2 linked regions of the Bombyx mori genome follow. The protein of the gene in region 2 binds, or shares a complex with, the protein of the main gene of each other region. Links are inferred from orthologs where the notes say so. Each region holds a gene or a part of one and is shown on either strand. Other genes may lie near its edges.

Region 1 (3,327 bases), on a different chromosome or scaffold from region 2:
AAGCTTTAAAAGTAATTTTAATGACAAATATCTAAGAGGAAAAAATTGTTTCATATATATTATTTTCATTTGTTATGCTGATGGTTTAATTCTATCTTAGCATCAGGAACTGACTAAGGGAATGTGGTTATCAAATACATACATATACAGTGAAAATCTATTATAACAACATCGAAGGGACTGCTCATATTCAGTCGTAACAACCAGTGATGTTTAATGTGTATCGTGCAAGTACAAACAAAGTACAAACAAATCGATAGTGAATTATTGGAAAAATATATTTACACAAAACGCAATTTTTCTTTGTTATTAATTTGTTTTTTTTCTTTGCAACATTTTGAAAGTTTCACGAATAACTCCACAAAGTTTTGGTGTGTCTTGTGTATAGATAAGTAACAAACTAACTGAAAAGATATGAAGAAGTGGGCTTTGACTCTACCGCATACACATTTTTGTTTCTAAGAATTAGAAAAGACCCTACACTAAACAAAATCCTATTGTTTTCTTTCCTGATTTTAATAGCCATTGAAGACAAATGTGGATACCTATTCAAATTGTTTACAATACAGCTTAGCCGGTCGTTCTAACAGATCTAATTCTCCGAAATATTAGTTAAATGTGGTCATTTTATTAGGTATGTCGGTATTAGCAATGTCGTATAAAGCAATGTTTTTAATAAGGCGGTCATATAGCATTCAGCCGGGACCTTTGTTCTAGGTTATTATAACCAGCATGTTGCTCAAAATGATGTCGCAGTAAACGGTTGTGACTGTATATTTATTTACTTTTTGTATTGACATTGATGGTGACAAACTTATTTTTGTGGTTTAACATTGCAATGGATACTGGCAATTTCTGGACACAATCAAGACTACCCACACAATTAGTTAAAAAATAAGCAGATGACAAAAATTTAAGTCAGTGATTTATGCTAATTATTTCTATTTCATAAAGTAAATTTTCCAATAAATATAATACAATTAAAGTTAAATGAAAAGTAATTTAAATGATAATATGAAAATTTAAATTTTATTGAAAATCACAATGACATGATGTACCTATTTTTATATAATTTACAACACAAACAAATTTACTTGGTTTAAATTAATTATTCTTTATTGCCATGGGAAAAATAGTTTAATGTTGCATACATAGTGATAATACATAAAGATGCTTGCAAATAGCATTTATTATGGTTTACTTTTCTTCACACCATTCATTCTCTTTACGAACCTGATCTTCTTCTGCAGCAGTGAAATCATTCTTAATGTTGAACGTTTTACGGATTTCTTCAGGAGTCTTTCCTTTGATCATGTTTGCTACAGTTTTACATGTGACATCTAATAAACCCTTGATGTCCAAATAATTTGCAGCTAATATTAATTCAAAGAGTGTGCCTTGGTCAACTTTCAAAAAATCAGCATCCCATGATGATATGTCATCAGTCCTCTTTTCCTTGTTTTCGTCATCTTCTGGTAGCGGAGGATCGTCTTTATGATAAGTAGCCCACTGAATAACTTTTTTGAGTATTGCAGAATTGACATTAGGTAAAGGTACAACTTCCTCTTCATCCTCTTCCATGCCTAAGTCTTCTAGCATAGTTTTGATAGTTACGGAGCATTTGGCGATTTCAACATCAACAACGAAGACCTCGTTGTCTGATGATTGCAACTTAATATTTGGCATCTAGAACAAAAGAGCGGTGGGAACGTAAATCATAAAACGACGGCTGAGAATAAGACGCCATTTTCCAATTTATAAATAGCGAAGTATTTACCTTGTTTTTTCAAGTATTTGAATGTTCACAATTAAGTGAAATTTATTTATCTTCAAACGAAAATGCCCTTATGTTCTGGAGATTTTTCCTTAAACCCAAACAGTGAATCAATGAGTGAACGAATGAATAAAATCATTAATCAATTTTGTTTTTTTTTCTGCTTTCGTTTAAATTTTTCTAAGGGATTTTATGACCTGGTAACTAAGACCTTTAGGTCATGTCTTTTTTTAATTTATATTCAGATTTTTATAAATTTTTTATTATGGAGTGAAATGAAATGAAGATGATTAATTTGAGACATTAATCAACTGGGATGAAATTAAATGAAATGAGTTGATATGGTATGAAATATAATCTCAGTAAAATGGTGGTTATTTACTAAGATTTTTTCAGTGGACTTTTTGGAGGAACTCGAGAAGTTACGTCCAGCAGCTTTGTTTCATTTTCCCACTTTTGTGCACTTTCACAGATATTAAACATTTAATAAACCACCGTTATTACACATTTAAACCTGAAGAAACACTAAATAGACAAAATAAAACAAATCACACAACTTCACTCCTCGCGCTCCCGCCAAAAGTACCTCCAACACCAATTGTTTTTTAAGGGATTTTATGACCTCATAACTAAGACCTTTAAGTCATGTCTTATTTTAATTTATATTCTTATTTTTATGAAAAATGATAATATGGAGATAAATGAAATGAAATGAAGATGATTAATTTGAGAAATTAATCAACTTAGATGAAATTAAATGAAATTTGATGATATGGGATGAAATATGATCTCAGTAAAATGGTGGTCATTTACTGAGATTTTTTCAGTAGACTTTTTAGAGGAACCCGAGAACTTACGTCCAGCAGCTTTGTTTCATTTTCCCACTTTTGTGCACTTTCACAGATATTAAACAGTTAATAAGCCACCGTTATTACATATTTAAACCTGAAGAAACACTAAATAGACAAAATAAAACAAATCACACCACTTCACTCCTCGCGTTCCCGCCAAAAAGTCCCTCCAACACCAACATTCATTTCCCACCATAGATACACACTTAGTTTCCCACACAACTAAAAAAAAAAAGAAACTTGTGAATGGAGTAAAGAAGAAATCTAATATATAAAATTCTCGTGTCACAGTTTTCGTTGCCATACTCCTCCGAAACGGCTTGACCGATTTTGATGAAATTTTTTGTGCTTATCCGGTATCTATGAGAATCGGCCAACATATATTTTTCATCCCCCTAAATGTTAGGGGTAGTCCACCCCTAAATTTTTATTTTTATTTTTTAGACAAAATTTTTAATTTCTATTTTTTTATGATACAGCATACAAAAATACATACAACCCTAAATTTTCACCCCTCTACGATCAACCCTTATTTTTTATTTGCTAATTAAAAACTTTAAAATTGTTTGCGAGAATTTTGTTTTTATTTTGTCATGACGTAGAATAAAAAAATTCATATTACTCTGAAATTTTCAACCCTCTACGATCAACCCCTATTTTTTATTTGTTAATTATAAACTTTAATTTATTTGGCAAGATTTT
Region 2 (4,303 bases):
TATTGCGTACGAAAATACCAAAAGCATTTTTTAATTTATTTTTCTCGTTTGGATTTGTTGACAATTGACATTTTGACATATAAACACAGACCTTTATAGGTTTCATACTTCAGTGTATAAACATGACATGACATTCCATTTGCAAAGGAATATTATAAGTTGTTAAAAATATTATAAATATGCACTAACTTAACCGCTGAGCTCTTAAAGGCTTTCCTGTTTTACATAACCGAGGCGACGAGGAAACGCAAAGCCATCGTCCCCCTAAACGTATCTCGTCGGATCCCCCGGATCACCTCTCGGAATTTTTAGGCTCTTCAAAATTCAAGCACCGGCATCGGTCACAGTCTTCGTCGGACTCGTCAAATGTGAAATACAACAAAGAGTTCGACGTGCAGCAGAGCCCACAGACATATCCACTGAATTTCTCACCAGATCTTCTCCATGGGGCGCGATTCCGATCCAGTGGTAGATTCAGCGAAGCGCTGCTCTTGTGTGTGTGCTCTAGTGTTACCAATTCTCTCAAATTGAGCCCACGAGCTCACCTTCCCGTCCGAGCATTGCTGGAATATCCCCTTAGGCTACCAGCGATTAGGTAGGGAAAAAATAAAAATACTCTTTGATCAAAGCTCATTACTAGTTAACTGTGGTATGGTAAGCTATAGTATTTTTACTATGTACAATTCTAATATTTGAAAAAGTTTTCCCAAGTACAAGTAGTCCCAGCATGCTGTCTATCTCATTCTCGGTGCCTGGACACTTAAAATATTATTTTAGGTCATACATAAACTATATGTTTAATAAAGTATCTGAATAGACGAATCCCTAAATTGTGTGTAACTACTACAACAGAATATTGTTTGAAATGATATAACACTAAGATTGCGTCAATACTTTTTGAAAGCAGTAACTGAACAAAAGGTCTCACTGACCACAATTAGAGACACAATTAGTACAAGATGCTGTAAACTAGTGTTATTGGAGCCTATATTGATTACACATTACATGTTAATCACTGCCATTGCTCTTTTATTTTTTTATTGCTATGTTGGATGGACGACCTCACAGCTCAGTTTTTACAATACTGTTAAAATTAAGACCTTAGAACTCTTGTCTTAAGGTGGGTAGCATTTACGTTTTTGATATCTTTGGCCTCGGTGACCACTTAATAGCAGGTAGTATGAGAGCTCGTCTACCCATATAAGTAAGAAAAAAAGTACAACGGCTACCCTTCCCTTCCCCTTCAAAGTCTATAAACCGAAACGCATTACTGCTTCACGATAGAAATAGGCAGGGTGGTGGTACCCACCTACCCATGCGAGCTCACAGGACACCCTATCACAAGTTATAAAATAAGCGAGTGGTGGTATCTATCTGCCTGTGCGTGCTTACGAGAGGCCCTACCGTCAGTTAAGATTCGAGGTTAGAGAATATGGAGATTAGAGGTTGGACTCTCATTGATAAGCCTACTCGTCAACATATTTATCACATTATCTTAATTTGTCTAGCAGCTAATGATGCAGGTAATCTGAAAATTGAGTAAAAATGATTATTATTATTATTATAAATAAAGTGGTTTCAATACAATAGGTCAGCAAATATTGTCAGCCAGAAATTCACTGGACCGGCTCGAACGTCTGAATACTCTGAACATTACAGCTCGAAAAGTTTTGTTATAGGTGTCGCTGTAAACGTCGTCGCCATATTGACTCCCGAGATCCGCCATATTTGCTGAGAATCGGCCCGTTGCTTGAGGGTGGTGTGAATTTATTGAGAATAATAACGAAATAATGATTTCAAATAGAAATATACAATAAATTTTATTGTAGTGCTTACTGTTTTATTCTGAAAACCGTTTTTTGCGTCTCCCTAGTTCTGCTAATGGTGCTTAATCTACATTTCCCGTTTCGTCTACTCGATCTAATCTAAACAGAAAATGGCCGACGGTGTTGGTGCGGGTGTCTCCTTTGTTTAGACCTGAATTTTAGTGAATATAAGTGATAAAAGAAATAATGCCTAGTGCCTCGTTTTCGTCTTCGCGTTCTTACGTACGTAGATCGCGGAGAAAAGGCGGTCATCGAATACCACTACCTTCTAGGACACAATCGAGTAAGTAATCCGGGTCGACCGAAGTCGCCCAGACTTAGCTAAAGCTTTTATATTGTCGTTCTCGCCGTGGTCAAATGTCAATAGTAATCGAATATTTCCATATTTAAAGGTATTTGCTTTATATAAAAGGAAATAAAACAACATTCTGGACTGTTTGTGAAGTGAAAAAATCAAGTGAAAACGCTATTCAATTCGAAATAGTTGAGTGCCGTCGATCGTTGTTCCTGTTAAGATTATTGATGTGTTAATCGTTAGTTCCATTACTAACCATTTTCATGATAGTATTAGCTGCGCATTTCGGTGACATTTTGCGCATTATAGATATTGATTTACAAGATGAAAAATATTTAACGTATGATGAAACAGCTGTTTTGTACATGCTTAAATCTTCGGAGCGTGTTCGATTTGCATTACGAAACTATTGCAATTTCGCTGAAGCCTAACGCAGTACAATTAATTTTCACTTCGTATTGCTTTGGTATTTAACATTAAATGTTATATGAATAATAAAAGCAGTACTTACAATAGATTTATAAATTCTGTGGGAACATAACTCAATGTGTTATTTATTACGAAAAGTTTATCTATACAAAGTTAGATGTTGGTCAAAATTACTATATGAAATGGTTTAATATGGTTAAGCGTGTTTACATATCACAATTTTGATTGCAGTAATAAATAGGCTTTGTAAGATTTTATCACAATTGATAATGTAATTGAATCAATCAAAGAAAGTAAATATAAATGAAAATAAGATGTATTAGTGTTACTAATTAGATATTGAGCTAGCTATATAAAAAACGTGGGGTAAAGTTAATTTAAAATGTAAAGTTATTATGTTTCACATATTCATAATGCAATACAAGGATAGGGTTGTATTTTTAGCAACAAATCAAATACTACTTTCTAAATGAAGGCATGTATCTGTGAGGTTATTACTCAAGAATAATCTGAAATTTTAACTTTATTACTAATTTACATATGTTCCTAATTTTATCCATTCATAAAAATAGTGCAAAGATAGCTATTTCATTCTAATAAGATACTTTTCATTTGTACTCACTTTACAAACATTAATCATTTTGATCAATTTTCTTAAATTTAGGTGATCATTTCAGTGGCAAGCCATAATGATACACCAAAATTATCATAACCCAACTGCAAAAAATGGTTTTCGATGTAGTCTCCTTTTATATAAATTTTAAATTACACATTAAAAATTGACAAAAGGCATACAAAATGCCGAAAGCACGGAACAAAAGTACAAGAAGGAAAGGAAGGAAGAACAAACCTATTAAGAAAGGTATAATAAACAAGAAATAGTACAAAATGTTCATGTTTACAATTATCAAAATCTAATCACTATCACTTAGTATTTGGTCTTATAAATGATTATAGTACAGCTAGTAAGACTATGAGTAGTCTGCCTGCTATACATTGATGACCTTTACAATAAGAATTCATTAGAAAAACTATTAATCAATACAGGAAGTAAGTAATTAAAGGACTTAAGAAATAAATATTGAACATTTCCTATGAAACATTACTGAAGTTAAATTTTAGTTCAATTAAAGCATACTACTTCTAAAATATAAATATTTCTAGTTACGAAACTTTAAAAGGACAGTAGTGATTTATAAATTTATATTAAACAAAACTATCAATATTTAAGTGATGAATATTTTCCCTAATAAGGAATTTAAATTTTTTTACATAAAGCTACATTACAGAATTGTTAAATATAAGTAATTTGTTTGTTCATGACAACAAGCTTACTTTATCAGGATTTAGCAGATTTATTTGACATTGATATTCATGTTAATGTGTTTGGAGTTAAATTGTGGTTAGAGTAAAATCCATATTTTTTTCAAGTGAAGAATATTGCACTAATGTTATATACAAAAAAACTGACAAATAATTTCAATCAAGTAGAATAACTTTTGATACAATTAATTAGTACATGAATATTTTTCCTTTAGGCTTACAAACCATAGTCAATGATTAATAAAAAAATTAGTCATATAAACAGATCCAATGACTATTTTCAGGTGAACCATGTGAGTCAGTTCCAATACCCAACAACGTCACGGGCAGTGCGATGGCGGCGACGGCCGCGTGTGCTGGCCCAAGCGGTGGGGGCGGAGCACCACCCGTACCTGCTGCTGCACCCGCCACCACCGCCGGCCATCATAGC

What was found.
Region 1: F-box only protein 11 (region 2) and S-phase kinase-associated protein share a complex: the UniProt entries of both Homo sapiens proteins name them as parts of the SCF(FBXO11) complex. The link is inferred for Bombyx mori from reciprocal best matches to the Homo sapiens genes FBXO11 and SKP1.

The regions. Positions count from the first base shown.
Region 1 is NC_085119.1:7,149,710-7,153,036, reverse strand, and holds S-phase kinase-associated protein, read right to left. Parts: upstream 1,925-3,327; 5' UTR 1,778-1,924; intron 1,687-1,777; coding exon 1,198-1,686; 3' UTR 518-1,197; downstream 1-517. UniProt on the Homo sapiens protein: Essential component of the SCF (SKP1-CUL1-F-box protein) ubiquitin ligase complex, which mediates the ubiquitination of proteins involved in cell cycle progression, signal transduction and transcription.
Region 2 is NC_085131.1:4,835,317-4,839,619, reverse strand, and holds the start of F-box only protein 11, read left to right. Parts: upstream 1-1,492; 5' UTR 1,493-2,012; coding exon 2,013-2,109; exon of another isoform or gene 2,110-2,359; intron 2,360-3,227; exon of another isoform or gene 3,228-3,348; coding exon of another isoform or gene 3,349-3,412; intron 3,413-4,157; coding exon 4,158-4,303. UniProt on the Homo sapiens protein: Substrate recognition component of a SCF (SKP1-CUL1-F-box protein) E3 ubiquitin-protein ligase complex which mediates the ubiquitination and subsequent proteasomal degradation of target proteins, such as DTL/CDT2, BCL6, SNAI1 and PRDM1/BLIMP1.